Linked DNA regions of Saccharomyces cerevisiae S288C. Changing the gene in region 3 together with the main gene of any one other region gives a genetic interaction. Each region holds a gene or a part of one and is shown on either strand. Other genes may lie near its edges. The genes, in order: UPF3, COP1, OPI1 and SDA1.

Region 1 (7,163 bases), on a different chromosome or scaffold from region 3:
AGGGACTCTTTGCACGAGACGTATATCAGAATTGTTAATGTAAAAAACCCAGAAAAGAAGAATGTATTGATTGAATGTCTGATTGTACAAATAGCCTTTATCAACAATCCTCATCATTTGATCGGCTGGTTGAACATCTGTCTCCAGCTAATCAATACACATAACAAAAAGCTACTTCAACAATTGTGGGAAATGGTTTCGAGTCTAGAATCCTCCCTAGCCATCGACTGGTGGTACACAACGGTCTTATCAAGTCAATCTTCTAAATTATAGTATCATTAAGTACTTTATAGTAGCGCCTTTTTATATTCCTTTTTTCTCAAACAAAAAAAAAAAATGACTGGGATACAAGTGAAAGTGGAAGAGCAAGTGAAATACGAAATAAAGTGAACCATTTATACAGAATAGGAAAACCAACTAGTGCATTAAACTAAACTCCATGTCATACAAACAGTATTTTGATAGTTTGCCTTTGAAATTGAAGTCCTTTTTCCAAAGATACCCCCCTTCAATCAAGTATTCTCCAGTGTCTACATCTACTAAAGCCATTAATGCCAATCCTTTCCTGCCAAATAAACATCCGGTCACACAACGATTTCATGATCCGAAATATTCACTTAGAAGAATGAGTGACGTATATAAGTTGGCACTGCGTTATGGAGTAGAAGAGTTTTTACCACCGATCGAAAACACTAAGAAACTTTTCTTCGAGGAGAAATACAATAAAAAGACCCTCATGAAAGGTGTTCTCTTGCCCAAGGGTCATAAGCATGAATTGAAATTAAACGAAAAGCTAAAAAAACGTGAAGAAGCTTTAAAGAAGGTAGATGAGTTGATTGCTTCCAAGAAGGGTTCGAAGTATGCCAAGAGAGTAGAAAAAATGAAAAAAAACCAAAGTATAGGCTGGTTCTGAAGAATAAGAGAGAAGATAACTATAGTTTAGAATAGTAAACCCTATGTGTACTGTTTTATGTTTTTAATGTCTAATCATGTAAATAATTTTGTGATATCAATAACGAACGTTCTGAACAAGAATTATGATAAAAAAAAGTAAAATCTAAAGCCATTACAACGCTATATTTTCAGTGGCAGTAAAAACGCAAGAACAAAAACAAAACGTGGGTAAAGAACAAGGACTACAATGGCTGTCAATGAATTTCAAGTGGAGTCTAACATCTCTCCAAAACAACTGAATAACCAGTCAGTGTCACTTGTTATTCCTCGGTTGACAAGAGATAAAATTCATAATTCAATGTACTATAAAGTAAATCTAAGCAACGAATCTTTGAGAGGCAATACAATGGTAGAGCTTTTGAAAGTTATGATTGGCGCATTTGGTACCATAAAAGGTCAAAATGGTCATTTACACATGATGGTTCTCGGTGGCATTGAGTTTAAATGCATCTTAATGAAGTTAATCGAAATCAGACCGAATTTCCAGCAGTTGAACTTCTTATTGAATGTAAAAAATGAGAACGGTTTTGACTCGAAATATATTATTGCTTTGCTTCTGGTTTATGCGCGGTTACAGTATTATTATTTGAATGGCAATAACAAAAACGATGATGATGAAAATGATTTGATAAAGTTATTTAAAGTACAATTATACAAATATTCACAGCATTATTTCAAACTAAAAAGTTTCCCACTACAAGTAGACTGCTTTGCTCACTCCTATAACGAAGAACTTTGTATAATACACATTGATGAATTAGTCGATTGGTTGGCCACACAGGACCATATCTGGGGTATTCCATTAGGGAAATGTCAATGGAATAAAATATACAACTCTGATGAAGAGAGTAGTTCTAGCGAAAGCGAAAGTAATGGTGACAGTGAAGATGACAACGACACCAGCAGCGAATCATAGACCTCTTCTTGGCCTTTTATTCGCTGGTGCACCAAAATCGCGCCTTCTCTTTTTGCTGGGGTCATTTGCAATTTGACCCGATCTTCTTAGGGAATTAAGTTGCTTTTGGTCAACCAAAAGTGAATCCAGGTTCAAGGAATCAGGTAAGATTATCTGTCTTATGGTATTGCCTCTAATGTTTATGTATTGCAAACTTGCTATGTTGTCACTTGCAGTAGGTTGCTGTCCTCCAGTCAAGTACAGACTAGCCATCGCAATACCATTACTGTTCAATTTATTTAGTCGGGGTTGTGGTAGGGTCAACTTCACGTCAGTTAAGATAGCATTCATTTGTGGTGATACCGACTGCAGTGTACCCCAAACGGTGGTACCGTTTTTTAGTTCTATGGTAACCTGCTCATTGCGCAGCTTTTTTAAAAAGTTAACCAACTTCATAATCTTTTTCTCGACGATTTATAAACGATACTTGGAGTCATCTTTCTTCATGACAATTTCATTGTATATGAACATTTCATATATTTTATTATTTTAAATATTCATTGAAAAATCATTAAATACGAAACTCAGAATTTATAATGGGGAATACTTTATGTAATAATATAATCATAAAATATATAATTCTTATTATTTTATTATAAATGTATTCCATATATAATATATAAGAAGCCATGAGCTTTTACTACTTCTTGGTATCATCACGATGCAAAATTTTTACCCGTGGTACGAAAAGGTTTTCTTTAGGTTGGAACGACGGCTGGGTTTGAGCGGATGATGACTGAGGCTGAGAGGAGTTTGATATTTTTAACTTCTCTTGCAAAAGCATTTTCTTCTTCCTTTGTTTCAAAACCTCTTTACCCGCTTCCTCAATAATAACCACATTACTGTTCTTGGTCTTAGAAATGGTGCTTTTTTCACGATTTTCACGCTTCTTCTTGCCTCTGTTCCGTTTTTTCTTTGGTATCTTAGCGGATGCTTCCTCTTCTTTGAATTTCTTTTTGGCGTTTTTATTTTTCTTCTTTTTGTTCTTATTCTTGACCTTATCACCAGTTCCAACCAGCTCTGTTAACACCCTTTCTGTTCTTTCTGCTATTTTATTTTCTAACTCTATGCTTTTTGAGAATTCTTTTTCTAAAGATTTCAATACGCTAAAATCTTGGAATGAGTACTCGTCATTTTCATTCAGCTGTTTCATTGAATTCATAAATGTTTTAAAAATTTCGTCTTCTTCAATTGTTCCTACTAGCGCGGCATCCTTTTTTGATGTTTGAGTGAATTTCTTTACGTAGGGCGACAGTTTCATATCTGGAATTGTAATATTATCCTTATTATCAATGAATTTACAAGTTTTAATGAAATTTGCGCATTTTTCCAAGTCTGATAAGTTGTCGAACAAGAAATTGCACCGAGAATATGTCGAGTTTTTGAATACTTTACTAGAATAATGACCTTCAAAAAAACACCAGTCACTGTACTTGAGTTTACCCTGGATATCTTGCTTATCACCATCATCGTTATTATTATCTCGTAAGATGGCAAAAAATTCATCTGCAGTCAAATTTGGAGGTAGCAATCTAATAACAAGCTTAAATCCTTCATTCTCGGTTGATTTACCCAATCTAGCCTTTCTTTTATAGTTATAATACTCTCTGTTCCTTTTCTTGTTATTCCTTCTGCCTTTGCTATTGTTGTGGGTAGCATTAGTAGCATTATTAACCTTATTCTCATTCTTTTTAGGATCTACCGTCTCATTCTTACTTTTTCCTCTGTTCTTGTTATGATACCTATTTCCCCTGCCTTTCTTTTTCCCCTCACTATTCTTCAATTCCCCAGCCACATTGCTCATGATAGATTACTATATATTTCAGCAGAAATGTAAGTCCCTCAGTAGGTTTTCCTTTCCTCTTTGCTGATATATTCATGCAATAATCATCGACAATATTTTCTTTTGTATCTTACTTTTTAGGCGAAAAATTTTCAACTTTTGATCAGCAAACAATACACAAAATAAATAAAGGGATGATAAACCATAGAATAACAAAAGTCTTCCGAAATAGCATATGTACCAATCTACTCAATCATTAATATGAACACTGCATTGGATGATTTACATGGGGATTTGGTGACTTTAGAAGATAACGAAATCATCAATAATTCTGATCATTCATCTTCTCACTCTACTAGTCATGAGGAGGAAGACGAGGAAGAAGACGATACTGAGGATATAGAACTTATAGAAAAAGACGGCAATAAAATCCTATCAAGTAGAATTCATCCGGAAGACGAAATCATAAATGATGGGTTAAATATATGGATTCCGGTTCAAATGCTCAAGAAGAATATAGCAAAGTTCTGGTCCCATTTTCTAGCAATTGAAAAGAAATTAACGAAAGTTAAATGTAAACATTGTGGAGAGATACTAACAAGAAGCGATGCAAGTTTGACAAAAACCTTTAGATCTCACTTGAAAACAAAGCATAATATAAGTGCCAATAAAAACTTCTATTCCATGAATTTCACAGTAGGAGACTCCAATCTCAAAAACAATACTTCCAGCACAGAAATTACACGTAGACACGGCTATGATTCGTTAACCTTCAATTCCGACCAAAGTTTCAAATGCTTTGACATAGGAAAATTACAGAGCAGTAATTACCTTTCTATTTCCCAATTAGTAGCCATAGTCATAGCCTCAGAAAATTTACCGCTGAACTTCTTTGAGAATGTGTCCTTTAAATCTCTTTTATCAAAATTTCATAGGATCCCTCCTTTAACTACCAATATAATAGAGGAGTCAATTATAGGGTTGTCAAAATCAATTGATGAGTTGATCAGAAGGTCTATATCAAGGAATGATACACAATTACCCTTTACTATCCATTTATCCGATAGTAAGGAATCAAATCAACCTCTTTACTTGAAATATTCTAGGGAAATTCGGGCACAATTGTCTAACTTGGACTTATCCCATCTTATTTCTGTAAATTTTACAGAACTGGCTGGAAAAAGATCATTATTTTCTTTGCAACTGTTCGATAATACCAACAAAGTTTCGAAGGGTTTACCATTATCTATTTTTGTACGTAAAACAACGGATATAGATATTAGTGTCTGGCAGGAACAGCTCAACAATTTGTATTCGAAATACCCTGGCTTACAAAAATCGGTGATTTCTATAACTTTGCCTCAAAGCCATTATACAATGGTACTAGAGAATAGAAACAGTCATAATTTTACTTTCCATAGCGGGAGTGTGAGGGAGATAAAGTACCATACTTGCATAGTATCTGAATTACTTCATTGTTTTTTACAGCCGTTGTTTAATGTTCCTACTGAATCAATGCTGTCTTCCTTTTCTGTGGCCAAAGAAAATCATTCAGGAGGCTCTTTGTTAGACTCATTAATAGATTTTTCCCATATTGATTTATCATCTACTATTCTCGGCAAAATATGCTGTTTGATAGAAGAAGTTAACTTAAACGACTCCCTAAAATCGGATTTCCTATTATACTGCCAAAATTATACACAACCTAACTGCAATGAACTTACTTCAATCCTTTCCTGTAACTGCGATAGATTTTCAGCTTTGAAGAGTATCTTAGAAAAATTTGCAAACTTAGTTCCTTTCTTCAAGTCTATCAACTCTCATTTAGAAAATGAATCACTTAGTGAATCCGATTTTCGTCTAATAAACACGGTAGAAGAGACGTTAAGAACTTTCGAGCAATCAATTGAGTACTTTGCTTCTTCCGCTCCATTGAAATTTACCCATACCTTGGTTTTTATCATTAAGTTTGAGTTATATTTGACAGAGATTATACGAAGCTTCAAATTCACCAAATCTAAAAAGCCCTTTGAAAAAATCCTAGCAAGGCTTCTAAAAGTTAAAGACCTTTATTTACTTGATGATGTAAACTTGATTGGTGCTTTCCTGTATCCATCAATCTTCCAAAGTAAAAGCCTTCTAAATGAAATCTTTGGCACAACATCGGTAAATAAAATAGTTCATAACATGACCAAAATTGTTCTAAGGTATCTTAAAAACTTTATCAATATAACTAATTTTCGTTCCTCTAATAGTGGTGGGGAGAGCGGTCGGAATTCCGGTAATAATCTTCTTTCTGACTACGAGGCCATTTTTATGAAAGAATCACGGGACGTAGAGCTTTTATGTAACACCAAGTTAACCGCACCACTAACAGAAGATTCATTACTTGTCCAAATCATTCGGGATGATCTATTACGCTATGTCAACAGAATTGCGCATGAGCTGCCTAATGCATACCATGACTACTTAAATGATAATGATATTAGCTTCGATGGATCTCACTTTACAAAACATGAGTTATCTGAGGAAAACGACTCTAACTCGGGGGAATGGTGCCTAAATCCCATGGAAGAGACATTTGATATTCATATTCCTATCTCGGATTCAATTTGGAATAATTACATAAGCAGTAAAAACAAGATTGAAGTAATCGATATTTTACTTCAGTTGCTTTCAGTAAATTCGACATCTTCAATACGGTCAGAATTATCTTCTCTAACAGCTAATCAAGACTTCAGTACCAAGTTGAGTGAGGAAACAATTAAAATCAAACTTTTGAATTCACAGTTTAATCTCGAAAAAATTAATTTTCACTCTGGATCAATTTTCGATGCTTGCTAGTGACATAATATTCCAAAGGAAAGGACAATATACTTTCAAGACTTTATTTTCTAGGACAAAATTCTTGTCCATTGTATTATATTTTCTTAATGGCACCCATATATTTCAGGTAAACTACATATGGTTATACAAATAAAATAATATTACTTAAATTTAGATGTATAGGTTCAAGAAATAAGTTTTAAGGTATTAATATGGGCGGTCAACTCAAAAATTTAACAGTTCGATAATTTCAAATCCTTGAGGATCCTCATAACAATATAAGATCTTCTTGGCATATGATTTTAACATACGTATCTTGTTTCCAAGTACACAGCGGACAAGTTCTCCATTTTCTATATGTCTAATTTCAATAAAGTTACTATTAATTGCCACAATATAAGGGTAGGAACACGCGAACTGTTCTGGTTCCCCCTCCCAATGAAAACATCCCTTTGTCTCCTCCCTCTTCCCTTGCTTATTGAGAAAAAAGCAGAGTTCTGGAAAACATGCAAAAGTTGAATTTTTTATCGGAAACATGGAAACTACTTTGAACGTCTCTTTATACATGTTCGCTAAAACTTTGTTATCATGTAGATTTAAAAGCTCCCTCATTTTAAATCCATTTTTATCACACACTTCCGGTAC
Region 2 (9,439 bases), on a different chromosome or scaffold from region 3:
ATTAAAAGGTGATTATTCCCAAGCCACGGTGCTTTCAAGAAAAATTCTGAAAAAAACTTTTAAAAATCCAAAATACGAGTCATTGAAGCTAGAATATTATAATCTTCTGGTAAAAATTAGTTTGCACAAGAGAGAATACCTAGAAGTTGCGCAGTATCTGCAAGAAATTTATCAAACAGACGCCATTAAATCAGATGAGGCTAAGTGGAAACCTGTTTTATCGCACATTGTATATTTCTTAGTCCTTTCACCTTACGGCAATTTACAAAATGATTTAATTCACAAAATCCAGAATGATAACAACCTGAAAAAATTAGAAAGCCAAGAATCTTTAGTAAAATTGTTTACTACGAATGAGTTGATGAGATGGCCAATTGTTCAAAAAACCTATGAGCCCGTCTTAAATGAGGATGATTTGGCATTTGGTGGAGAAGCTAATAAGCATCACTGGGAAGATTTACAAAAAAGGGTCATCGAGCACAATTTAAGAGTCATTTCCGAATACTATTCCAGAATTACTTTACTAAGATTGAATGAATTGCTGGACCTAACGGAGAGCCAGACGGAAACATACATCAGTGATTTGGTAAACCAGGGCATCATATACGCTAAAGTTAATCGCCCAGCCAAAATCGTGAATTTTGAAAAACCAAAAAACTCAAGCCAATTATTGAACGAATGGTCACATAATGTTGACGAACTATTAGAACATATAGAAACAATAGGCCATTTAATTACAAAAGAGGAAATCATGCACGGTTTGCAAGCTAAATGAAGAGATTTTCGAGTAAGTGTCGGATTATCTCAGATCCGGTTTTGATTTTAAATCTGTTACTAATCGAAATGTGTATTTACGTACGTGAGATAAAATTATCTATGCATATATATAACTCAAATGGAAAATGGCCACGTATTGCTCTCATTCTCTTCACTTGCTTACACAAAACATAAGGTGACAATTAATGGAATTTTAGTTTTTCAATTTTTCAGGGGAAAGAAGACACCCAAAAAAAAAGTGAAAAGTCAAAACGGTAAACTGTTTATGGTATTTAAATGACATTAATAGCAGCGTAAAGAGTCATTTTTTCGTTTGATTAGCAAAACTCTGAACATTAATTACTACACCTATAGACATATCTTTAAACAGTGAAATATTTTTTTCATTTAGTAAACAAGAATTAAACTTTGAATATTTTTTTTTCGATTAACTTATGTCACTTTAGCCTATACTTTCTTCGAACATTTTTCCTTTCATTTTGACTCATGATATTAGATCCATTATCTCCAAATATTGAAAATCATACTCAAGATGAAATAATTGAGTTTTGGGAAAAAACTGAGTCTATTGCTAACATACCAAAGGAAAACTTGGATGAATCCCATGTTAACTCAAGCCTGGTTGCCTACCTGAAGTTTGCTACTGATTCCTATAAGGTTTTTATTAATACTGATCGTGACCTCTACCGGATGTCGCTAATACTGTTAGAATCGTCCTTATTTGAATTTAAAAAAGAGTTTTGCCTAAGTAAGTTGCAGTCGTTACTCAACATAGACCTACTGGAAATGAATATGAAGTTCATTATTGTTTACATTCTTCTCTGTGAGGCGAAAAAAAACGTGTACTCCTTAGAAATCATGCTCAAGTTCCAAGGATTTACTGTGTTTTATAATACCTTGTACACACAATTCGCCTATTTGAGCAAATACGGAAAGGAAAGGACAGTTGCTTCTAAACATCAATACAATTCTAATAATTCTAGCACAGGTACATCCTTGGACAGTTTAGACCGAAGTTTGACTGATATTGATTTGGGTATTATAGACGAAATGAAGCAAATTTCAACTGTTTTGATGGATTTGTTATTTCAAATTATGAAGTACTGTAAGTGTGTTATTGCTAATCTTCAAATTGTGGATGACTTTTTTGTTTACTATATGATGGAATCAATGAGGTCCGACACTATGGACGATATGTTCAATAACGCGGAGTTTAAACTGCTGTTGGCGTTGAACGAACAATATATGATGTTTGCCAAGGAGTACGACATTGAGAACAAGGTCTATAAGTATTTGATCAATGGGTCTGTCTCAAGATGTTTTACGGAGCTATTATTACTGAAATTCAATAGGGCATCGGACCCTCCGTTACAAATTATGATGTGCAAAATTATTTATCTTATCTTGACACCAAGAGGAGACTACTCTCCGATGAATTTCTTTTATACAAACGACTTACGTGTTCTTATCGATGTATTAATCAGAGAACTACAGAATATCAGTGAGGATGAAGAGGTATTGAGAAACACCCTTCTAAGGGTTCTGATTCCGCTATTAAAGAATACACAATTATCCAAAACACATTATAGAAAGGATGATTTGAATAAACTATTAAACTACTTGTCGACTTTAGATAATATATGCGTTGACAGTCCAGCGTTGCACGAGCATCAAGTTACAGTGGCCTTATCTCGGAAGTGTCTTCAACAAATTCCTTGGTTAGAGACACCTTCAACGCCTTCAGATGGAGGTTCATCGGTCTCTAGTAATAACACTAGTAGAAACTCTAGCATTGTTGCATTGGGGACGCCCGACAATCAAAATATCTTGGCTCGTAAAGGCCATCTTTATAGTAATCGTGAATTAGATGTTTCTGCAGAATCTTTGACTAAAAGAAAGGCTAAAGCTCCGCCTCCGCCTCCTCCTCCTCCTCCATCAAGAAAATGTGGAACTCCAAAATAAGTAAAGCATTATTTCTTCTTGCATTAATGTGGTTCTTCCGACCATTTCTTCTTCTACTCACTGCAGTATCTAATGACACATTGTACTTTTTATATACAAATGCAACAATCGTAACTATAAAACTAAAGTTCGGGTTGCTTCCGAATACATGCTGGCAGAATTTCAGGTTGTGTGTCACTTGTTAAAATAGGCGATATTTTTTATTTTAGAAGTTGTATATAACTGTTAATTACATAGTCAGTTTTTTTTTTTCACTATCATATTGTTTAGATTAAAAGGACTTGTCACATGAAATTTAGGTCGAGCAGAATACAATCCCGAGAAAATCAATAGGCAAAATAGCATTTATACACGTATTCTTAATCCGGATGCAGGTGCACCGATCTTAGAAATCATAGCAATTCTATCTATTTTATCTTTTTCCGTGATAACGTATTTACTACCTGTTAATGGGTCAGAAACGGAAGGTGTATCTTCATAAATTGGTTTGTAGGTGGCTGCACAAATATCGAATTTAGCATAAGGATCAAAGTCAATTGGAATGGCGTCACTGGCCATTGAGTCGGCTTTGTTTTTGATTTTACGTGCTTGTTCTGCACGAGGACCAGAAGAAATAATCTTTAAAAATTCACCGGCAAAATATGAGGCCTGTAAGAAATTTTTGTGTTTGAAATGTTGGGACATAGCCACTTGTAAAGCATTGGTACGATGAATTGGGGATAGTTTTGCCTTTGTAAAGTATGCAGCTAGCTCAAGCATGCGTACAGTATTTCCCTCCTTTAATGAGCGGCGTTCCAATTCAATGGATAAACCTAATATATACTCCCTAGCAGTTTCCAGTATCTTGTGTGCTAATTTTTCATCTTCAGCATCATCGACCATTAATAGCGTAATACGGTAGATAGCTTCTCTGAAGCATTCGATTGCAATATCTGGTTTGTTTAGTTTAAAGTTTTTGTAACCCTCATTCATTTTTTCATTAACGACATCAAGACCTGGCACGTAAGGAAGAATTTGATCTTCACTTACGGTATCATCATACGCTCTGACATAACCTAATTGAGCAGGAAGTTCACAGGGCGTACTAGGAATGTATGTTCTACAACCCTCATAAATGTTGGTAAAATATTTCTTCAATGGCTCCAGCTTGACTACACCCACTTGCTTGCTCAAGGCTTGAACAGCGGCATCAAAGGCACCAGCGGCAACTAGGACAGCAGGCAGTTTAGAATTCTTGATCCAAATGGCTGTTTCAACTTCCTGTGCTGGAGAGGTAATTTCGCCTTGCTCAACTTCTTCAGGTAACTCTTCTCCCACATCCAAATCTTCGTCACCCAAATCCCAGGCACCTTCGTCTTCACCAATATCCTCATCGTTAAAGTTTTCTTCGCCTAGTGGTTCTTCTTGCTCTTGAGTGGTGTTTACTGCTGGAGTTTCATCGTCTATAGTCAAATCGTCAATTTGACCTAAAACAGCCTTTTCAAAGTAAGATAGTTCAGCCTCTTTTAATGGCCATTTTTCAAGTGGCTTTGAGATCACTGGTCTTTGAACGAAGTTGGAGGCATCCATCTGGTCTGGTAAAGTAACATCTTGTTCATCAACTTCAGCTTGCTCCAAGAAAGCAGAAGCAGCCGCTTCATCTCCGTTAGCCTTTGCTACGGCATAAGCTAATGGTAAAGAGCCGCCCTCTGCAAAAATGCTAGATCTTTCCTTGGTTGAATTGTTGTAAAAGGTGTTTAATAGCATACTTCCAAAGTCTTCACGAGTCTGAGCGATATTTTGCATTTTAGATAGTTTGTTAACGTCACCTGTAACTAAATACAGGAAGGAAAGTTTGTCAAAAGAATGTTGAGTTTGATAAATCATTTCAGCTAAGCTGGCATTACCTTGTGCCAAGGCTTCTTGGATTAATCTTTCCCAAGTACTAGAATCATTCAGTTTTTTGGCTTCATCTAAGGCAACATCCAAATTACCGTATTCCAAAGCTAAATCAAAACGGATATGTGGGTCTTGAACGAATTGTAAAGCAATTTCTGGGTAACCTGACTTCTGCAGATAGGAAATGATATTCTGGCCAACCAAATTAGAATCTTTTATCAGACGTAAAACTTCTGGGAAATTTTTGTTAACCAGGGCCTTTTTGAAGCGATATTCTGTAGGATCAATGGTTAAAATTTCAATCTCACCTTCACGGTTCAAGCAGTACACTAATTTTCCCTGAACTTTTGTGATATATAAAGTTTTCTCCAAAGTTTTAATAATACCTCTATCCCCGTTCAATAGTGAGTACCTTATATGATTTAAAGTTGAATAAATTAATACACCAGTTTCATCCCAAGCGGCACTTTTGATTCTAATCGTTTCATGCATAGAATTAATCAATTCTAGCTTTTTGGTAGCCAAAGTTATGGTGTGCTTACTCATCAATGCAACATATTGACCATCTAAGGACCACGAAACGTACTTGACGTTTTTAACAGCCAATTGGGATACTTTTTTGCCCTGTTGGACATCATAAAGAATAACTTCTCTGGGGTGTATGACCAAAACAGATCCAGGACCTGCAGCTACAATAGTTCTTACTGTTTCCTCTACTTTGATATTTCTTGTAACTTTGTTTTCGAGAGAGCGAACTTCAACAGATTCAGTGTTCTTGTTGTAAACAACAAATCTATTACGACCAACAAAAGTAGCAAAATTACCTGTATCTTGGGTGACACTTGTTGGCTCCACAGCTCCAACTGGTTGTTTTGGTAAAATAACGAGAGCAAATTTGCCATTAGCTTCATTAACCAAAACTGAATGTTGGGAGGGATTGTACGATATACTTCTGAATGCATCCCAAGGTTGACCAATACCCTTTAAGGACGCATAAGGTAATGAAGCGACTCTTTTCTGGAAATTGAAACTTTGGATTTGCTTTTCCGCATTGACAAAAAACAACTGGTTTTGATGGATAAAGCTGCATGGTCTTTCGCGATCGAGCTTGAAAACCATAATACCAGAATCGTGAGCTGCACCAAATAGATTGATATGAGGATGTGCTGCAATCAACCAAAATCTATCGTTTTCTCTTTTGAATTGCTTTACTGGAGTTCTCTTGTCAAGATCCCAAACCCTTAGCGTTTTGTCTTCACCGACAGAAATGATCAAGTTTTGATGTGGGTGAAAGATAACACTATCAACATTGTTAGTGTGACCTCTGCAAGTATCAACTTCCCAAGCTTTCGTAGCACTCATTCTCCATAATTTAACTTGACGGTCGTCACTGCCGGAGACAATCAATGGTAAAGTTGGATGGAAAGAGGCCCAGTTGACACCTCTTGTGTGACCCTCTAGAATAAACTTGACAACACAGTCACCAAGAGAGCCATCCAATAGATTTTGTTGTGCACTCATTTGCTCCTCAAATGAACTAGTACCAGGAGCGGAGTGTCTTTTCCTTAAACCGGAAATATCCCAAATTCTGATGGTTTCATCCAGAGAAGCGGAAACGATCAGGTCATCGGTTGGATGAAATTGAGCACACATGACAAAATGATTGTGGCCGGTCAAACATGCAATTTCCTTACGGTTTTGCCAGTTCCAGATTCTTATGGTCTGGTCATCAGAAGCAGATATGATCCAAGGCAGCTCACGGTGGAAAAACACGGTACGGACATAATCCAAATGCCCAGTTAAGGTGTATAGACATTTGTTAGTATCTAAGGACCAAACTTTAATGGTATAGTCGTCACCTGCCGAAACAAAAATCGGTTGGGTTGGATGGAAATCTAGCCCACGAACAGGGCCCTCGTGGTCTTCAAATCTGTGAAGTAGTGTTCCCATCCTGTAATCCCATAATTGAATAGTAGAGGAAAACAAAGCCACCAAAACCCAAGGTCTGGAGGGGTGGAAGGCAATGCCCTTGGCCCTAGTGGACTTTGATTCAAATTTAGTTAACATCTTCATCTTGATCCAGTAATGAAATGAACAAAGACACTACAGAAGAAAAAAAGTATACTGATTTCAGGTTAAATAAACCGCGAATTTGTAAACAGGTATGATAATGTTTTTATTCAAAAGTGTAAAGGGAAGATAAAATAAAAAGAAAAAACTTTATATCTTAAGCAAAGAAGGGGGTAAGTAACAAATGTTTGGAAAATCCTGCTGGTTTCGCCAATTCTATGATTTACCTAATTGCAATGCCTCTTCAAACAAGTTTGTGGTCCCTGTATGCTACTGAATCGAGGCTCAATCGTCACAGTCTCGAAGACGGATCTGTTATTTATTCAAGTTGGCAAATTGTCGATTTCGTTTCGTGTTGTCGAAATTTTCGGTCGCTCTGTACGTCGTATAAATGCTGACAATAAGAATAATAGTTAAGAGTACATACTAAATTATGTGTTACAATATACTAGATGAAGGCTCGTCAACGAGGCAAGCAATGGTTGGAACTACTCGTCCACAAGAGTGGCAGTTTTTTCGTCGAACTTCAATAGGCCTTTCCGCTCCTTTAGTTTGGCCTGTACTAGCACAAGTAGGTTGTATAAGATAGAAAGAGTGGGTGTAGCGACGCCGTTTCTTTTCGCGATTCTTATGGGGTTGCCTAGGATGACTTCTAGCTCCATCAATTGGCCCTTCTCGCAGTCCACGCACATGGATGGCTTGAACACCTTTTTCCTGGTAATCTCTGTAAACATCGTTATGAACTCCTCTTCGATAATGATGCCTTCACTCGCCGCAATGGCGATGATCTCCCTCATGGCAGGGTGGAACACTTCAATTTCTGTGCTCTTCTTGTTAACCCCAAACTCCAGGCAACGCGGAACGTCTAGCCCCACAAGTGCCGTGGATGTGTTGATAGCTGCATTGTAGAGCAACTTCTTCCACCGAGAGTAACGGACCCTAGGGTCAAATTCGACAAAGTTTTGCCCCTCGTTGCTGTACATCCTGACGAAGTCGTTGGCAGCCTGGATAGCAGCAGCGTCCTGTGGATCAAAAGCTCCACACGATAAGTGGTCCTGGCCCACTTGACTGATATGGCCTGACCCGATCTTAGTGGATCCGATTAACTGGATGCCAGAAAGCACCGTGTAACGATACTGCTCTCTGGGAAATTCCGCCCATATCTCCTTCTCAATATCGATTCCGTTCTGTACCAGTAAAATGTGTGTCGTCAATTGCGGCCCATGTAGCTCTTTATTCTTCTCAAGCACAGGTCTGATGATGTTGGACACCCTTGAATTAACGGGCCCATCTATGATGTTCTTGGTAGTCACTACAATATAGTTGTATCCTTGGTTGTCTGCGGCAGAAGCAGCGTCCTCGACGCTGCTGTAAATATGGTGGGGTCTCCAACCTTCTAACCGGCCATAGTCACATGATTCGATTGTGTAGCCATGCTTCAATACCCTATCGTAGTCAGATCTGACTACCAAGGAAACGTCGCTCTCCTTCTTAAGCCACAACGAAAGCGCAGTAATGACCCCAACGCCACCTGCCCCGATAACTAGTATTCTAGACATTTTCGACATTAGCTTATGCCAACTTGTATCCTGGCACCGGGACTGTAGTTTATGAGGTATATCAATATGTCCTAATTAAGGCTATATAATTTGGTATTACTATCACTTGCCACGGGGAAACTGAAATTTTTTTCGTTTCGCCACCAAGAAAGGCTAATTGAATACAGTTCAAGAGGTTGATATAGCTAAGTGGGCATGAAGGTTATGAATTGTAATTGGAGGTGCGGCAAGTGTGCAAGACGGGTAAAGGAGAGTATAGAACGATGTCTGCTAAAGTTCCATCTAACGCCACGTTTAAGAACAAGGAAAAACCTCAAGAGGTTCGCAAAGCCAACATCATCGCTGCACGTTCTGTTGCAGATGCCATCCGTACTTCATTGGGTCCCAAGGGTATGGACAAGATGATTAAGACATCTCGTGGAGAAATCATCATCTCTAATGATGGCCACACCATTCTAAAACAGATGGCCATTCTGCATCCGGTGGCCAGAATGCTAGTAGAGGTTTCTGCCGCGCAGGACTCGGAAGCCGGTGATGGTACCACTTCTGTGGTGATCTTGACCGGAGCTCTATTGGGTGCTGCTGAGAGGCTGTTAAACAAGGGCATCCATCCAACCATCATTGCGGACTCCTTTCAAAGTGCTGCGAAGAGATCTGTCGATATTCTTTTAGAAATGTGCCATAAGGTTTCGTTGAGCGATAGAGAACAGCTGGTTCGTGCTGCATCCACTTCTTTGAGTTCCAAGATTGTGTCTCAATACTCTTCGTTTTTGGCGCCCTTGGCAGTGGACTCCGTATTGAAGATATCTGATGAAAACTCTAAGAATGTTGACCTGAACGATATCAGACTGGTCAAAAAAGTTGGTGGTACCATTGATGACACAGAAATGATAGATGGTGTGGTCTTGACACAAACGGCAATCAAATCTGCTGGTGGTCCGACAAGAAAGGAAAAAGCAAAGATTGGGTTAATTCAATTCCAAATATCTCCTCCAAAGCCCGACACAGAAAATAATATCATCGTTAATGACTATAGACAAATGGATAAGATCCTTAAAGAAGAAAGAGCGTATTTGCTAAATATCTGTAAAAAAATTAAAAAGGCCAAGTGTAACGTGCTGTTGATTCAGAAATCCATCTTGAGAGATGCGGTAAATGATTTGGCTCTTCATTTCTTGTCAAAATTGAACATA
Region 3 (7,121 bases):
ATTGCTGGTTTGAGCTTGTTAAAGAGTTAGCATGCAAAATTCTCCTGTTGTTAAAGATAACACAACAGTTTTCGGGCAACTGCAATCTAAATTGATTGTTGAAGTCATTGATATGACTCTCGAACAAGTTCAACCCCCTAATGAAAGACTTAAACAAAAATCTCTCTGTTAGTTTTGCTGGGGTGGTAATTAAATTCAAGTCCAGATTATTATTTAGATCTGAGGGCTTATCATAAATTCCGAAAGTGAAAGGTGCTTGGTATGGTGGAGAGTAGTTAATGCATTTAATCAAGGCCTCATAATTACCCAGAAGAGTATTGTCCTCGTTAATGTCGTGATGTTCGATTAAAGGTTTGGATTGGTAGTACCTCTTATCGCCGTTTTCATATATATAATTTACAGGAACAATTTGTAAAGCCTCATAAGCCTCAAAATCCGATTCTCTAACATTACGGGTAGCATAAAATGCGTCCACGAAGTAATTCATGGGTCTAGTATTGGGATCTTCCCCTTCTGTAGCAGGTAGAGATTGTAGAATCTGGAAACCTGGCACATTTTCTAAAAATGGTAAATCCGTATGTAGCGGCAAGTCTTTATTGGCATAATGGGCATTAACACTTGTCGCTTGGGATGCATTCACGTCAAATGTACCTTCACCATGTACAGTCGATCTTATGGGTCCGATCCTTTCACAGATCTTTTGTATGGTAAGGCCTTCAGAGGAGGATGAAGGAGTACCGGAAATGAAAGCGATACCAAACTTTTGTAGGTTGACCAGCGTTTGGAAAAGCTTGGAGTCATCCTTAGGATCAATAAACTCGTTGTAGCTCACAGAAAGTAAGTCCTTGACGTTATCTTTCAGGATGCGCTTATTCCATAACTGGGGTCTATATCTGGATTCTTGTTTTCTTGTTGCTGGCGAAACAAAACTGGAACCTTTATAGTCGATAAAGAATTGTAAAGGGAACTGGTGATGACCGCCATCTTTCCATTTCACCACTAGAGATTTTCCGTCCTCAGAAATTTGAATGTCCTGAGGAGCGGTCAATTTCTCGTTATGATACAGTTCTCCCGTGGTCACCAGCTTGGCACTATGGGAGGCATCTCTAAGAAAAACGTTGTTAAAGCAAACGGAAACCGGCTTGCTGGACTCCTCCATGGAGAACGTAATTGTCGTAGAATCTCTATTGAAGTATGTTTTGATGATATGTCCCCGATTCGCAGCCGCAGCTGTCGCCGCAGATGTGTATGTCCTTGGTGTAGTGGTCAGTCTTGCAAGGATTCGAGATCCTCTGCATAAATTTGATCTTAGCATCTTGTGTTGGTAATTGGTTTCTAATAATTATTTTTTCTTTTTAACTTGGAATATGTTCCTGGCCAGTTGTGAAGAGTTACCCCTGATATTTGGATCTAGAAGGGCTTCTCCTTATATAGATAGCACTTTTCCTCGAGGATCAACCCCGGAAATGTATTCCCGACCCCCTTACGGCTGCGCAAAGGTCCTTACTGAGCCATTCAAAGGTAAAGAGGGTCCGATAATAATGGTAGTTCAAAAGGGGAGAAGCGGGGCTGGTACAATATCACGATTATGATTATGATTATGATTATGATTATGATTATGGATATTATATAAACTATATTATTCCGTATAATATTATTACTGGTGGTAATGCATGAAAGACCTCAATCTGTCTCGGTTAGTCCTTGCTATCCACGTTGTCCTGAGAGGGCTTTACGTAATTGCCATCCTTCTGCTGTTGCTGCCTGTACTGTTGCTGCTGTTGCAAGAAACGCTCCCTGATCATTTCTTTTACCTCCTGTTTCTGCTTCACCCATTCTTCAGCCTTGCCCAACGTGGAGTCGACTACGCCCATGACATTTCTCACCATTTCCAGGGATTCTTTGGCGAGAATGAGTACTTTCCCATTCGCAGTTACGGAGGAGGACGGCGAGGCTGAGTCGTCGCCATCCTTGTTCCTTTTTTGCTGTTGCTGTTGCAGGAGTTGCTGCTGCAAAAGTTGCTGCTGCTGCTGCTGTTGCTGTTGCTGTTGCTGTTGCTCCACTTTTTGTTCTTCACAGTTGGCATAATGAAACGAAGCATGATGCGGCAGTGATGTACTGTGGACGCTGTCGAACCAATTTGTGGGTAAGTTTAGAAGACTTTCCCGAACCTGAGATCTTGCGGGCTCCGGCAGCGAATTTGCTGTGAACTTCGATATCAGCGAGTAGACTTTCTTGACTGTGCCGACCACCTCCATTTTCACCACAATAGACTGCTCGCTGGCGTTGACCTGCTCTGAGGCATCAAAAAACTCCTCATCGTCGTCGTCTTCGTCTGACGATGTCTCGTCCTCGCCAGCTCCAGTGGTCGTCCTAGCATTTCCATCTTGCTTGTGCAAAGGATGCACCTGCTCCTTTTCAACAAGGTCCTGTAAACACGAGATTTTATCGGAAAGCTGCTTATTGGCCAGCTTTAAAAGATGCAAGCACGTTACAAGCCTCTTCTTAGACTCGATGGACATGTTCAGCTTGTACTCTTTCAAGTTGTCCTTCCCCTTGGCAATCGCCCGCGACAGCTTCTGTCTCTTGTTGGTGAAGAACTCATCGTCGTTGTAGTCGTAATCATCATGCTCGTCATCGTCATCGTCTAGCAGCCTCCCTATTGATTTCAGTGGCCTCTTGTTGGTGTTTATTTCATCGTAGAATGTCACTACGTTACTGATAATTTTGTTACTTACGCGATCCAAAATGTTTAGCGGCGTCGTAGACGACTCACTTGCCGGCATTTTGTCAGCTTGTGAGACGTCCTCTGAAGGCTGCGACTTCTGTCTGCATGATTGTTTCAACACCCCAAGTACTTCAGCCGCTTCTACCTCTTCCTCTGATAATCCTAAACGTTGATTTTCAGACATCAATGACTAGTATCTTCGTTAAAAACACTGTCCTGATACACACGCTTTAATCAGCACTGTAAACAAAATGCCACGTTCTGGCCTGATATGCTTTCTTGGCTAAGTGCAGATCGCTGTCTTGCTCCAATCCTCTTATTAATCCCTCTCATTGAGGTGGAAAAAAAAAAAATAAGAACGCCCGATTTTACCCGGTTGCATATGAAGATTATAAGGTGCCATCTATATACTAAAACGAACGTACCATTTGTCTATCTATGAGATGTCTGCGTAAGCGTCAAACAATATATGCGTACTCTTCGTCGCTGACGGTCTTGTATCTGACCCAGGGGAAAGACTGGTACTGCAATTGTGGCTCTTCGACCTTCAAGTACTCAACTTTCAGGCCACTGCATGTACAGTACGGAATCTCGAAATCAATGTTGACCAACTTATCTCGAGGAGTAACGTGGGAAGTTTGTTGGTCGTGCACTTGTCTATATAGTTCTTCCAGCCTGGGTCCCGTGCGCAAGGGCGGCGGATTCATTGAGGTTTTCATTTCTTCTTGCAGGCGGTCATATTCTTCCTGGTTGAAGAGGGGGAACTCTGCCACCATGGATGCACACGTATTTGGATCATCTTCGTCGCTGTTGTACTGTGAGCTCTTGTTTGTGCTATGTTCTCGGTGCCCCTTCATGGTTTGTATCTCCCAGAGGAGAAAATCGTCACTCAAGTTAAACACGACCTTGCCGATGTTTGCCTTGAATCTAATTTGCTTGCTGAGGTCTATTTTATATTCCTGGAAGACTTTTGTCAGGGGAATTCTCACGTTTAGCTTCGACGTTGAGTTGGTGGGTTTAAAATTTGTTTGAATTTTGGTTACAATTTGGATTTTAAACTTCTTCAGTTTAGGTTTGATTTCAAAATCTTTCAACCTCACCATCGGCGCATCCTTTACATGTCTCTTCAACTCGTATTGGCAAAGAACAAATTCGCCATCCGGCGGTATAAATTCGATTTCTCTTGCATCTGTGGCGGCCTGCAAACCAGCATCATCGTCACTATTCTTTTCTTCATCTTTTTCAATAGTGTTTATGGAATCTAGTGAAACACACTGATGAAAGCTGGAATTCGACATGAACTGGGGGTCCCTGTTCAGTATCTTGTTTATGGATATTTTCAGTTTGGGCATCCCTGATAAATAGCATCTGCACACAATCTCTCCATGTATCAGATTTTTCCTAATCACTCCTTTTTCAAAATCCATCAAGTACTGAACACGTTCAATAACATCAAGAAAGAACTCGTTTTTGGCGTAATGTATCCCCTTTGTTCTCCATGATATGGGCATTATAATCGTCTTCGCAATATCGCCATTGATGTATAAATCATTACCGTCATTGGGGAGCTCGTCATTAGCGGCTTCTTTACCGGTATCATTCTTGTTCCTTAGTGTCTCCTTGACAGTTTCCACCACGTTTATGCCCCTATTTTCTTTATTGTTTACCATTATACTTTTTAATTTACTTTTGCCCACGCTTTTCCCTTTAGTGCCCTTTTTCTTCTTCCTTTTCTTCTTCTTATCCTTCCTCTTATTAGTATTGCTGTACTCGCTATCGCTATCGCTACCGCTACTACTACTGCTCTCTTCACCAGGGCTCCACTCCTCATTGTCTACTGTAACTCTTGGTACGTTGACCTTCACACGAATGTAGTCCTTGATGATACTTGGATCCGTCACTTGTACGATACCAAAGTCTATACATTCATCAATCAACTCCAGGACAAGTAAGATGTTGTCCAGTATGACATTCTTAGTTAAGACCTCGATTTCAAAATATTTTTGTAAAAGATGATAAAATTGTTCCAAAAAGGCTAGTATAGTCATTAAGTCTATATTTGGTTTGTCTGTGGTATGTATCACTGAAACGAAATGCAGAAAGTCTCTCTTCAAATGTATAAAGAACCAATCGTTTTGGGAGAGAATTGGAGGCGACCCGTCATGATAACATTGTTTGAAACTTGAAAGAACCGACGATAGATTCGGTAGTGCTCTAATATTCTTCGATACCAATGGCTCCAGATTTTCATCCAGGATAAAAAGGCTTGACGACATGCCTTTCCTTCCTGATTTCCTCTTTACTATTTTTGGGTCCCTTTATTTGCTTTTTGTCCAAGGCATTCTCAATTTTCCAATCTGGAATTTAAGCCCTTCCAGTTATAAAACAGTAAACACAACCTACCAAAAGCAGAAAGAAACCAAAGTAAGAATACAATGCACAACAAGATTGTTAGAATCGCGTCCAGTGCACTCACAGGGGGCAAACTACTCGAGAAGCTAAAACCCTTGACCCGTTGGGAAGTTCAATGGGACCCTAATAAGACCAAATGTTTGGGAATAACAAGAGAGGTAACATTCAAGGACTACGAAACCACATGGGCCTTTTTGACTCGTGTATCGATGAGATCTCATCTATGGGGCCACCATCCCCTGATTCACACAAGTTACACCTGGGTCAAGCTGGAACTTCATACGCATGACATAGACCCGAAAGACGGGGCTCACAGCCAGCTTAGCGATATAGACGTCCGGATGGCCAAGAGAATAGATTCCTACATCGATGAGATGACAACTTGATAAGGCAGGGCAGGTCTAAAAGGCTATTGCTCTTTCCATTTTTTTTTTCCTATCGATTTTACTACTAGAAATTTTTGCTACCCATACCCATTCTCGCATTGCAACATGGAAAAACTGAAAATTGAAAAAAAAGGTATTGAAATTTCAACTGTATTGTGTAAATCATTTTTGGGCAAACTAGACACAATAACTAGCGAACAGAAAAATGGATAGAACGTGGCTATTACTGACGTGGCTGTTGCTACTCTGTGGGGTAGTTCAAGGGAACCAAGAAAGCATAAATCAAAAATATCACGATGTCTGTTCAGGGATGTATTCCAAGGAGGATTTCAATGGAAAAGTTGACCCCTATATATCGTTTACGTTGGAGGAATTGTCACTTGCTGATGAAGACGATGATGGCGAGGGGGTTAGTGTTGCTGTGTTTGATTTCCAAGATTATGAGCATATTGGTGTGCGGTTACCAAATGGAGAAATTCAGTATATTTGCGATGACTACGCATTGGATTTGGGCCTCTGTGAGGATTCGTCGGAGGGGCAATTTATCATTCAAGAGACAGCCATCGATCCGTTCACCAGTAAGGAACATAAGCTAACGAGTCAGATTTTGACTTTCACTCAACAAGAATTGGGCACTAACGACAAGGTATACTCAATTAACAAAACTGGTTACTATTGTGTGACCACGTCATCTTTCATTTCTTCCAGTTCCAAGTTTAAGGCTACAGTGAATTTTAGGAACGCTTACGGTCAATTGGACGCTTCAGAGGCGTACAAGATGCCTATTTATGCCTTTTTGGCCGTCGCTTATGCCGTCTGTACATTAGTGTACTCTTGGCTATGCTGGAAGCATAGACATGAGTTACTGCCTTTACAAAGGTACATTTTGGTATTTTGTATTTTCCTAACAGCTGATACTATTTTCGTCTGGATGTACTATATTATTGAGAACCAGAAGGGAAACTCCAGCGTCGCTCTTCATGTCTATATGGTTTTCATATCGATCTTTAGCGCCGGTAAGATGACTTTCACGCTTCTCCTCGCCTTGCTGATATCTCTTGGATATGGTATAGTATATCCAAAACTGGACCGTACATTGCTAAGAAGATGTCAAATATTTGCGATATTTACGTTTGCAGTGTGCGTTGCATTCCTGGTCCAAAAATATTCCCAGAATTCTGAGTCTTTATCCAATTTGATTTTGATTACTGCTATCCCCTTAGTATTATGTCTATTCGCTTTCTATTATTTGACACTGTCTTCAATGAACAAAACAATGACTTATTTGAGGGAACAAAACCAAGTGGTGAAATTAAACATGTACAGAAAACTGATCATATTGTGTTATATTTCGTTGTTTATACTCTTCTTAGGCTTACTAGTCTCTACTTTTGCATACGTCGGTATGGACACTGTTGACATGATAGAACAATATTGGAAAACAGAATTCCTCATCACAGATACTTGGCCTAGTTTCGTTTACTTCTTGGTCTTCGTCATTTTCGCATTCTTCTGGAGACCTACAAGTACATCATATTTACTAGCGTGCTCGCATCAATTACCAACTGACATGGAAAATGTATCAGAATTCGATT
Region 4 (8,409 bases), on a different chromosome or scaffold from region 3:
GTATCAGGAGCACAAAATTTATCTTTATTAGCGACGGCACTGATTTGGACGCGTTGGTCGTTTGTCATCAAGCCCAAGAACTATCTGTTAGCTTCCGTCAATTTTTTCCTGGGTTGCACTGCAGGCTACCATCTAACAAGAATTGCTAACTTTAGGATACGGAACGGTGATTCTTTTAAACAGGTTATTCACTACATAATAAAAGGGGAGACTCCTGCAGCCGTCGCAGCAAAGCAAACTGCATCCACATCGATGAACAAAGGTGTGATCGGTACTAATCCGCCAATAACGCACTGATTACGTAAACGATAATATGTTCCTGAACTCGCATTTTTTTAATGATTTTTTATGACCTCTTATATATTCTTTCATTATATAACCTCTATATTACATCAAAAGATGGAAAAATATAAAAAAATTAAAAAAAAAAAAAAGAAATTTTTTCCAAAAGAGTATATTTATATGTATGTATACATGTAGGGAAAATAAGAAACTTTATTAATAGTAAAAAAGCATATATACTTTATTATTAACTCTTTTGTTTTTCTCGAGAAGCTTAATTTTGGGTCAATTCAACGACCTTTTTAGCAGCAGGATCTAATTCATCAAACGAATAAATCTTCACGCCTGACTTATTGATAATGTCGCGGCCTTCTTCTACTTTGGTACCTTGCAAACGTGCCACAATGGGGACCCTAACTTCTAGTTCTCTGGCGGCTTCTACCAGCCCCAGGGCAACATAGTCACATCTTACGATACCGCCGAAAATATTGACGAAAATTGCATCTACGTTCTTATTGGATAAGATCAATTCGAAACCTTGTTTGATGGTCTCAGGGGTGGCACCACCACCACAATCCAAAAAGTTCGCAGGATCGCCTCCATTTAATTTGATGACATCCATAGTAGCCATAGCCAAACCAGCACCATTGACTAAACATCCAATGTTACCCTTCAACTTAACAAAATTCAAATCATACTTCTTTGCCTTAACTTCATCAGGATCTTCTTGTGATAAGTCCCTCCAGGAATATATCTTTTCCTGTCTGAATGATGCGTTATCATCAAACCCAAATTTGGCGTCTGTACACATGATTTTGTGGGTTGGATCATGTTCAATTTCACTCAAAGGGTTAATCTCCACTTGTGTAGCATCCCTTTCCATGAATATTTTATACAAATTGGAAACAGCTTTTGCTGCCTCGTCTTGTGCATCGGGACTGAAACCGAGACTCTTGGCAACATCCTTGGCCATTTGTGGGCTCAATCCCTTTGAAGTTTCAATTGAAAATTTCTTTATAGCATCTGGGGTTCTCTCAGCCACCTCTTCAATATTCATACCACCTTGACTGGACGCAATGATCATCGGTTTCTTGGTTTGTCTGTCCATTAGAATAGATAAATAAGCTTCATGCTTTGTATCTACTCTTTTCACTATATATACAGCAGATACTGGCTTCCCCGCTATTCCCGTCTGTTTAGTAATCAGGTTATGATTGAGCATTTCTTTTGCAACATCCTCTGCCTGCTGAGGACTTTCGATCATGTGAACACCGCTTTTGTAACCGGTGTCGAAGTGACCTTTACCTCTACCTCCGGTCAATGCCTGCGCCTTGATGACCAGTTTGTTAGTGTTTAATTTCTTGGCTGCTTCGAAAGCCTCTTCGGGAGTGAACGCTGGAAATCCTTCTGGAGTACCAATACCGTATTCCCTCAATAACTGAGCTGACCTGTATTCATGAATTGACAAGTGTCTCCTTGCTTGTAAAGCAGCTTGCGCGTTTAGCCTGCTTAATTGCCCACACTTTGAAATTAGGGATAAGGATTTTCTTGAGTACATTTTGTTCAGTTGCAATGCTTCAGTATTTTTTTCGATTGTATTGACTCAATCCTTATTAATCCTAACTACCTAAAAGTCAGTTACAAAAAAACTGGACTATCGCTCTATAGTCACTGTTATTTTTCGAGAGAAAACGTCAAAGTGCTGATAAGGAAAACGTCGATCTTATATAAAACCTCAAAGATGTTGACTACGCGGCAATTGAAAGGCCAACCAACTTTTAGAATACTCACTCCGCCGCTGCGGGGAAAAGCCGAGAATTCCCGATGAACACATAATCGATACCAGTTGGAGCATTTTTCTCTGTACCAAGACATAAAAAGAGTTTTTTTTAGTATCTACCTGGCTTTGGTGTTCCATTCAAGGTAGAGAAGTCCTCATACAGTTGGAGAGATGAATGTATCTGTGTATATGTATGTATATATTAATATGGCTACGATGTCGTCTAATACCCCTTCTTCTTTTGTTTGGTGATGTGTGCACGTAACACTTTTTGCTTGTCTCGTAGTGACATTTTTTGTTTACCTCTAACAGATCTCTTGTGAATAGACATAACAAAGTTCTTCCTTCTTTCTTTTTCTCTGTTGGTAGTAGAACGCATGTTGTCACGCTTACCGCGTCTACTACCAAATTTGTCTCTACCTTCACGACCTTCCAACACCTTTTGTAATCTTTCCTCACGAGACTGTTTGTATTTGATAGGGCCTGTTAGTGTACTTGCATCAACTAACTCTTCACGCTTGTCTTGTTTGTGGATACCCATTATTTTAGCAACGCTTTCCTCATTACGCAATTCTTGTAGTTTAGCGAAATCTGCCGGAGTTAAAATACGTGTAGAAGCAATTTCACGGAAGGCAGCTTCGGGATCTATATCTGCATCTTCTTGCTCATCCTTCACTTCTTTTTCATCGTCATCATCGCTTAGTTCCAAATCGGAATCTGATTCCTTGCCCTTAGCATTGTCTTTTTCATCGTCACTATCTTCCATATCAACGTCATATTCTTTATCACTATCCATGGTGACCCACTCACCGTCGACATCGTCTTCTTCGCTATCGACATCTACTTCCCAGTTGGCATCAGCGTCTTCATTTTCACTCTCTTCACCATGTTCTTTCTTCCATTTGGCTAACAGTTCGATACCAGCAATCCCTTGAACACTGTTGTCGGCACCAAATTGCGGTCTTTTTGAATCTTTACCTCCTTTCTTGGCTTCTTGTACTTCCATGGCGGCATTCTTACCACGATCCTTCTTCTTTAGCATTTCTGGTGCCACGTCTCTATACAACGCTATCAATGACTTGGCAGCCATATTGACACCTTTAGCTTTAGACCCCTTATATTCTACCAGATCCTGTAGTAGAATCTCATCGATAGCCAAAGGTGCACGAGAGCATATTTCTCTAATGGTATTAATGCCTGCAGCAGCGACTTCATTGGCAACACCGTCTGATACAAACTCGTCTGCAATCTTTCTCACCATGACATTTATAACTTCAGGAGGGACAAGATCATGACATGCTTGGGCACATGCGGACATAATTCTTGTAACATCTCTTTGTTTCGGAGTTAAGTACTTTAAAAAAAAAGTATAAATTCCTAAAACAATTAACTTATGGGTACCAATCAACCTTGATAACAGCTGCATCAAAGATATTTTTTGTTCCATGTCAAATTTGTTTTTCGTTTTGCCTGAAAGATGTTCCTTAAACAATTTTTCGGCAAATCCTTGTGGATCTCTCAAAAGGTGGATAGCACTGAAGTTTAAATACCCTTGAGGAGCACCCGGTCCGTTCTTCTTCTTCTTCTTCACAGTTTTTATGGCATTCTCCAGCTTCTTACCACGTCTACCCGTTTTTTTATTGACTTGCATCTTATGCCTTAATGCATCTAAATCAAACCCATCCTCATCCTCGGAATTTTCTTCAAAATTTTCTTCACGTTCTCTGTCAGCATCCAAAAAAAACATCACACCAGACATGACAATCTTAACATCCTGATGTAATGCTGCTTGGGTCATAATTTCTACTGTTCTTGAATCATCCCAAATACCACGTCTCCAAAGTTCTCTGGTTAATTTTGTGGCCCAGATTCCCTGGGAATCTGGTTGATCTAACAAATTAAAGCAAACGGCCTGCGTAGATTTGTTCAATTTTTGATTTTTACCATTAGTATTACAACTTTTTAATAAAGAAATTAAATTTGTATAAATGATTTTCCTCAATTCCTTGGCGTGTGAATTAACGCCGAGTGAATTACCATGGGAAGAGTAAGCAACCAATAAAGGAAATAAGCTTTGAATTAATTCCTCAGCAGTAATGACGTCCTTATTCCTTAACATCGTCAAACAACTTAAGATTTTTTCTTTCAATTCAAATGGCAAGGACTTATGGTGTTCCAGCAAAAGCTGCTTTAATTCAGACGGGAAGTTTGCAGTTTCACGAGGAAAACATGAGCAGACTTGAGATACGAAGCCAACCAATTCAATAAGTTGCGAAGTTGAAGTGCTCATGGTGGTACCGTTAGTACCTGCCATTGTAGAAGATCCATTTCCTACATCGAGCCCATTAGTGGCAGCTGCAGAATCACCTCCAGCAAGCCCATTTAACATAAAAATGTCCCTTAGCGATTCATAATGTGCATATTGTTGAAGAAACTCCTCTTGATAGGACTCTGGGTCACGCTTTACCAAATTCTGTAAAAGAATGATATTTGTTGGGAGCATAGCTGCTCTACTTCTTCTACCCATTGTTGATGCCCTTGATTGGTATATTCAGTGCGTCTTGTGCTTCCTCCTTAACTATTATTACTTATTCAAAAAAGTGACGTTTGATATGTTTTTTTAGTGGTAGAACGTTCTATCTGTTAAGCGTGTTATGGTTATCTGCGATGAGATGAGTTTAAAATTTTCATTTTTTAGCCGATCAAGCAAAAGAAAAGAAAAAAAAAAAAAACTGAAATTTCCACCTTACCCGTTTTTTTAATGGAACAGTGATTGTTACGACATTGAGATTTTAGATTTATATAATCACATACATATTAAATAGTTAATGCACCTTTAATTCTTTTGCACTTCATGTTCTATATATTTTAGCCAAAACCAAATGTATTGCGTCTTTATTTCCGTTCCCTTTTTCCTTCCTAGGGTTGATTACCTAAACGTTACCTAAACAAACCGTCAATGGCGTCGTAATTAATCTTCTTGGAGAAACTTGCCTTCTGCAACATGTTCTTGACACTATCAGCAGTTGTGAAATCACCACTTTCCTCAGCTGCCTTCAATGCAGCGTGTAAACCAGACTTATCTTGTAAGTCTGACATCAATCCGATAGCTGCTGCTGCATCCACAGTTTTTGTAGGTTCGTCACTTCTAGTATTATTCCTACGTCTCGTACGTTTTTTTTTCACTGATGTGTTACCTGTGGCAATATCTGCCTCCTGTTTCAAACGTTTACTCTCTTGTTCAAGTAAGAAATCTGCGTTCAGACCAATCCAAATTCTTTCCTTCAATTTAGAAGCTTCCTCGTTTAATAGGTGCGCGTTTAACTCCTCATCATCAACATCTTCTAAATTATCTGGGTCGTCACTAACTTTCGAAAGGTATGTGTCCGTTGTGGGTAACAAGTGTAAATTGCGAGGACAATATGGGTCTGTTTCTAGAGAGTAACCATCAATGGCATCTTGAAAATGCCCAGATTCGTTCTCTTTCTTTTCTTCTGATGTTTTTGTCTTTACCTTCTTGACTTTTTCCTCAGTCCCTTCCGTCTCTTTGTCTTCCCCTTCAACATGCTCGTTCTGGATAGAAACTTCAGAAAGTTTGCGTTTCCTTGTTTCGTTTTCAGAACCTTCATGGTATATATTTTCACCATCTATACCATTAGTAGCCTTAATCCTCTCCACAACACGGGCCCTTCTTTCTGAAAATTGTTTTAAGTAAAACAGGACTTCCTTGGAAGACAGTTCTTGTTCTCCTAATACTTGCGTCAAAATTGGATTTTTATTCAATGCTTCTTCACTTGTTTGAAACATCTCTTCTTTGTCTAAAGAGTCCTTTATTTTTCTTTCTTTCTTTCTGTTCTTCACAAAGGAGGGAGGCCTAGCCTCACCGTCTTCCACATCATTTTCTCTAAATTTTTGAACTGAAAGTTTAGCAGCCTTTGTATTTTTGAATTCGTTCAACCGTTGCTGTAAAGTTTCCTCGGCGACATGTGAAACTGCGACGATCTCTGTATGAGTTCTTCTCAAATTATTCATCCTGCAAGCTAGTAGAATACATGCGCCGGCAATACCTGCAGGTCTACGTCCTTCAAACATCCAGTCCTTGGACATTCTTTGAGCCAATTTTACGGCATCTTTTACCACTTTGATCTTCTTGTCAGCAAGATCCAATTTTTCGGCAAAATGTTGAATGAATAAGGAAGGATCCGCTAACGGCAATTCTGTGATATGTAATTTCTTTACCATTTTCAAAAATGTGGCTCCTATGGAATACACACTCACCTGTAACCTTGAAGAGAAGTCGATCAGCATATGATGCGTCTTTTCCTTTCTACATGCAACGTAAAGACATGAAGCGATAACATTTTGGGACCTACGACCTTGTACAAAGTTATTAGCCAATGCAAGCTTATACCATTGGAAAGCAGCATCTGTGATATATTCCGGGATATGTAATGCGTAAGAAACGGCGCGTAATTTCCTTCTTGCATTGTTCAATGTGGCTTCTCTAGATTCTAGAGCACTAGAACCACCAAATGCAGCATGACTTTGTCCTGCACCGATAAAAGAACCTTGTACTACAGCAGCACCTGCACTTGTTTCACCGAATGTAACTTCAGAGACGATAGGATTATCTTCTGAGACAACACCACAAGCTTTACAAACTAAATCGTTGTTAGCATTGGAAAGATCTCTCTCAAATTCGGTTCCGTGACAGTTCTTACACACTGGCATTGGTATATGACTATGGACTCTTTTTTATTACCGTTTTTACCATTGGGATTGTTCTTGATGCGATCAAAAATATGATTTTTTTTATCATACCTGATACTTCGCGAAAACCTTAGAATAGCAAATAAGGCCATCGCAACATTAATAGACAAAAATTAGAGTCACTTCACTTCGTTGATTTTTGATAGCGACGGCCGTGACCATTGCAAGATTTCTAATGAGGGGAAGAACAACTTTTCTTGTAGATTACCTCCACTTTAATCGGATGTCTTTTTTTACGTCCAAGAGTATTCAATGTCATCAAGATAGAAGCAAATTTTTCTAACACTAAATGTTATATTGCATCTGTATCAGTATATATGTGTATGTGGGAAGCCATAGTTCACTACTTCACAACTTTAAAAACAATCTATTTTCCTTTGTTCACTAAGTGATTTTGTAGGCGTGATCAAGTGCTTACCGGGGGGTTTTTATTTTTTTTAGGTTAGATCCGATGGAGAAGCGATGCAGGTGAAGTTTAATAAGAACCCAATTCGTAAGCAGGGGCACAAACAATCAAGAAGTTATCAAAGTCACTTTTGAGATACCAAGAATCTAATCAGATTATTTTATCATTTTATTTTACCATCAATTGTAATTATTCTAGTTTGGGAATTCGCGATACTTCAATTTGCTAATATCAGTAACCACAGAAAAATGGCAATAGCATTATGGTATTGTCCACCACAAGGATCAGTTGCTTACGAGACATTACAGATGCTTATATTTTCGTTTCAAACGTTGTTCCCAGATTCACCAGTTTTTGAACCTCATGTGACGGTAACGTCCCATTTGGTGTGCAATAGTAAAGATGATGTCAACAAAATCTTGACCTCCTGTGTTGCTGCCATCCAATCGATAAGGTCACACCAAACAGCAAAGAAAGGACGTAAGGGACAGGTATCCCATGCTGTTGCAGCTCCTTTGGTATCTTTCAATGGATGCAGTGTAGGTAAACAATATTTCAAGAAAATTGTGCTCGAGTGTAACAAGAACAAAATACTTTATGGGGTCGCACAAGTCATGAGAGAGATGTACGTAGAGATCGATCCTGAGACGCGAAGTAGCCGTGCCGCCACTTGGGTGCACGAGGAATTCCATCCTCACGTCTCATTGCTTTATTCGGATATTCATCCGGTAAGTCAGGCGTCATTGCGAGTAGTTCAACAAAGAATTGAAGATGCTCTAGACGTGCAACTAGTTCCAAGAGAGAAACGTAAGGGTTCCGGAAACGCTGATGGGTCCAATGAAGTGCAAATGAGATGGGATTTTGACGTATCTTCATCGCTATCTTGGAATATCCCAGGAACGTTTAAAGTGGTCAACTGTGTGGGGCCCGTTCAAGAATGGGAGGTATTGGGACGGGTGGACGTTTAAGCATACATTTATGTGCACTGTAAGTAATTATATAGAATTTTTTTTTTTTTTTTTTTTTTCATATCTGTCAATACTTGAAAATGTTCTAGTTAGAGATTTACGTATACTGATCGCTTGCCTTCGCAAGGGATGGAAATCCCTTGAAAATTAAAAAAATCCCCCCCTAAGCAGCGAAAATTGTAAGATCCATAATATTTAAGAAA

Evidence for each region.
Region 1: mutations in OPI1 (region 3) and UPF3 together harm fitness more than expected from each alone (negative genetic interaction), as found in Saccharomyces cerevisiae (2 studies listed by BioGRID).
Region 2: mutations in OPI1 (region 3) and COP1 together harm fitness more than expected from each alone (negative genetic interaction), as found in Saccharomyces cerevisiae (3 studies listed by BioGRID).
Region 4: mutations in OPI1 (region 3) and SDA1 together harm fitness more than expected from each alone (negative genetic interaction), as found in Saccharomyces cerevisiae (2 studies listed by BioGRID).

Annotation. Positions count from the first base shown.
Region 1 is NC_001139.9:630,854-638,016, reverse strand, and holds UPF3 (Upf3p), read right to left. Parts: upstream 3,714-7,163; coding exon 2,550-3,713; downstream 1-2,549. Other genes in the region: PEX8 (Pex8p), read left to right, coding at 1-273; mitochondrial 54S ribosomal protein mL59 MRPL25, read left to right, coding at 440-913; U4/U6-U5 snRNP complex subunit PRP38, read left to right, coding at 1,142-1,870; mRNA splicing protein SMD1, read right to left, coding at 1,865-2,305; ENV11 (Env11p), read left to right, coding at 3,954-6,536; Rho family guanine nucleotide exchange factor ROM1, read right to left, coding at 6,744-7,163. UniProt on the Saccharomyces cerevisiae protein: Involved in nonsense-mediated decay of mRNAs containing premature stop codons.
Region 2 is NC_001136.10:191,487-200,925, forward strand, and holds COP1 (coatomer subunit alpha), read right to left. Parts: upstream 6,691-9,439; coding exon 3,085-6,690; downstream 1-3,084. Other genes in the region: proteasome regulatory particle lid subunit RPN5, read left to right, coding at 1-775; LDB17 (Ldb17p), read left to right, coding at 1,264-2,739; YDL144C (uncharacterized protein), read right to left, coding at 7,176-8,246; chaperonin-containing T-complex subunit CCT4, read left to right, coding at 8,510-9,439. UniProt on the Saccharomyces cerevisiae protein: The coatomer is a cytosolic protein complex that binds to dilysine motifs and reversibly associates with Golgi non-clathrin-coated vesicles, which further mediate biosynthetic protein transport from the ER, via the Golgi up to the trans Golgi network.
Region 3 is NC_001140.6:64,545-71,665, forward strand, and holds OPI1 (transcriptional regulator OPI1), read right to left. Parts: upstream 2,913-7,121; coding exon 1,698-2,912; downstream 1-1,697. Other genes in the region: AIM17 (Aim17p), read right to left, coding at 1-1,315; APM2 (Apm2p), read right to left, coding at 3,187-5,004; MCO14 (4a-hydroxytetrahydrobiopterin dehydratase), read left to right, coding at 5,164-5,526; YHL017W (uncharacterized protein), read left to right, coding at 5,732-7,121. UniProt on the Saccharomyces cerevisiae protein: Negative regulator of the transcriptional complex INO2-INO4 in response to phospholipid precursor availability.
Region 4 is NC_001139.9:977,480-985,888, forward strand, and holds SDA1 (Sda1p), read right to left. Parts: upstream 4,590-8,409; coding exon 2,286-4,589; downstream 1-2,285. Other genes in the region: MPC3 (mitochondrial pyruvate carrier), read left to right, coding at 1-297; LSC2 (succinate--CoA ligase (GDP-forming) subunit beta), read right to left, coding at 557-1,840; transcription factor TFIIIB subunit BRF1, read right to left, coding at 5,003-6,793; CPD1 (2',3'-cyclic-nucleotide 3'-phosphodiesterase), read left to right, coding at 7,487-8,206.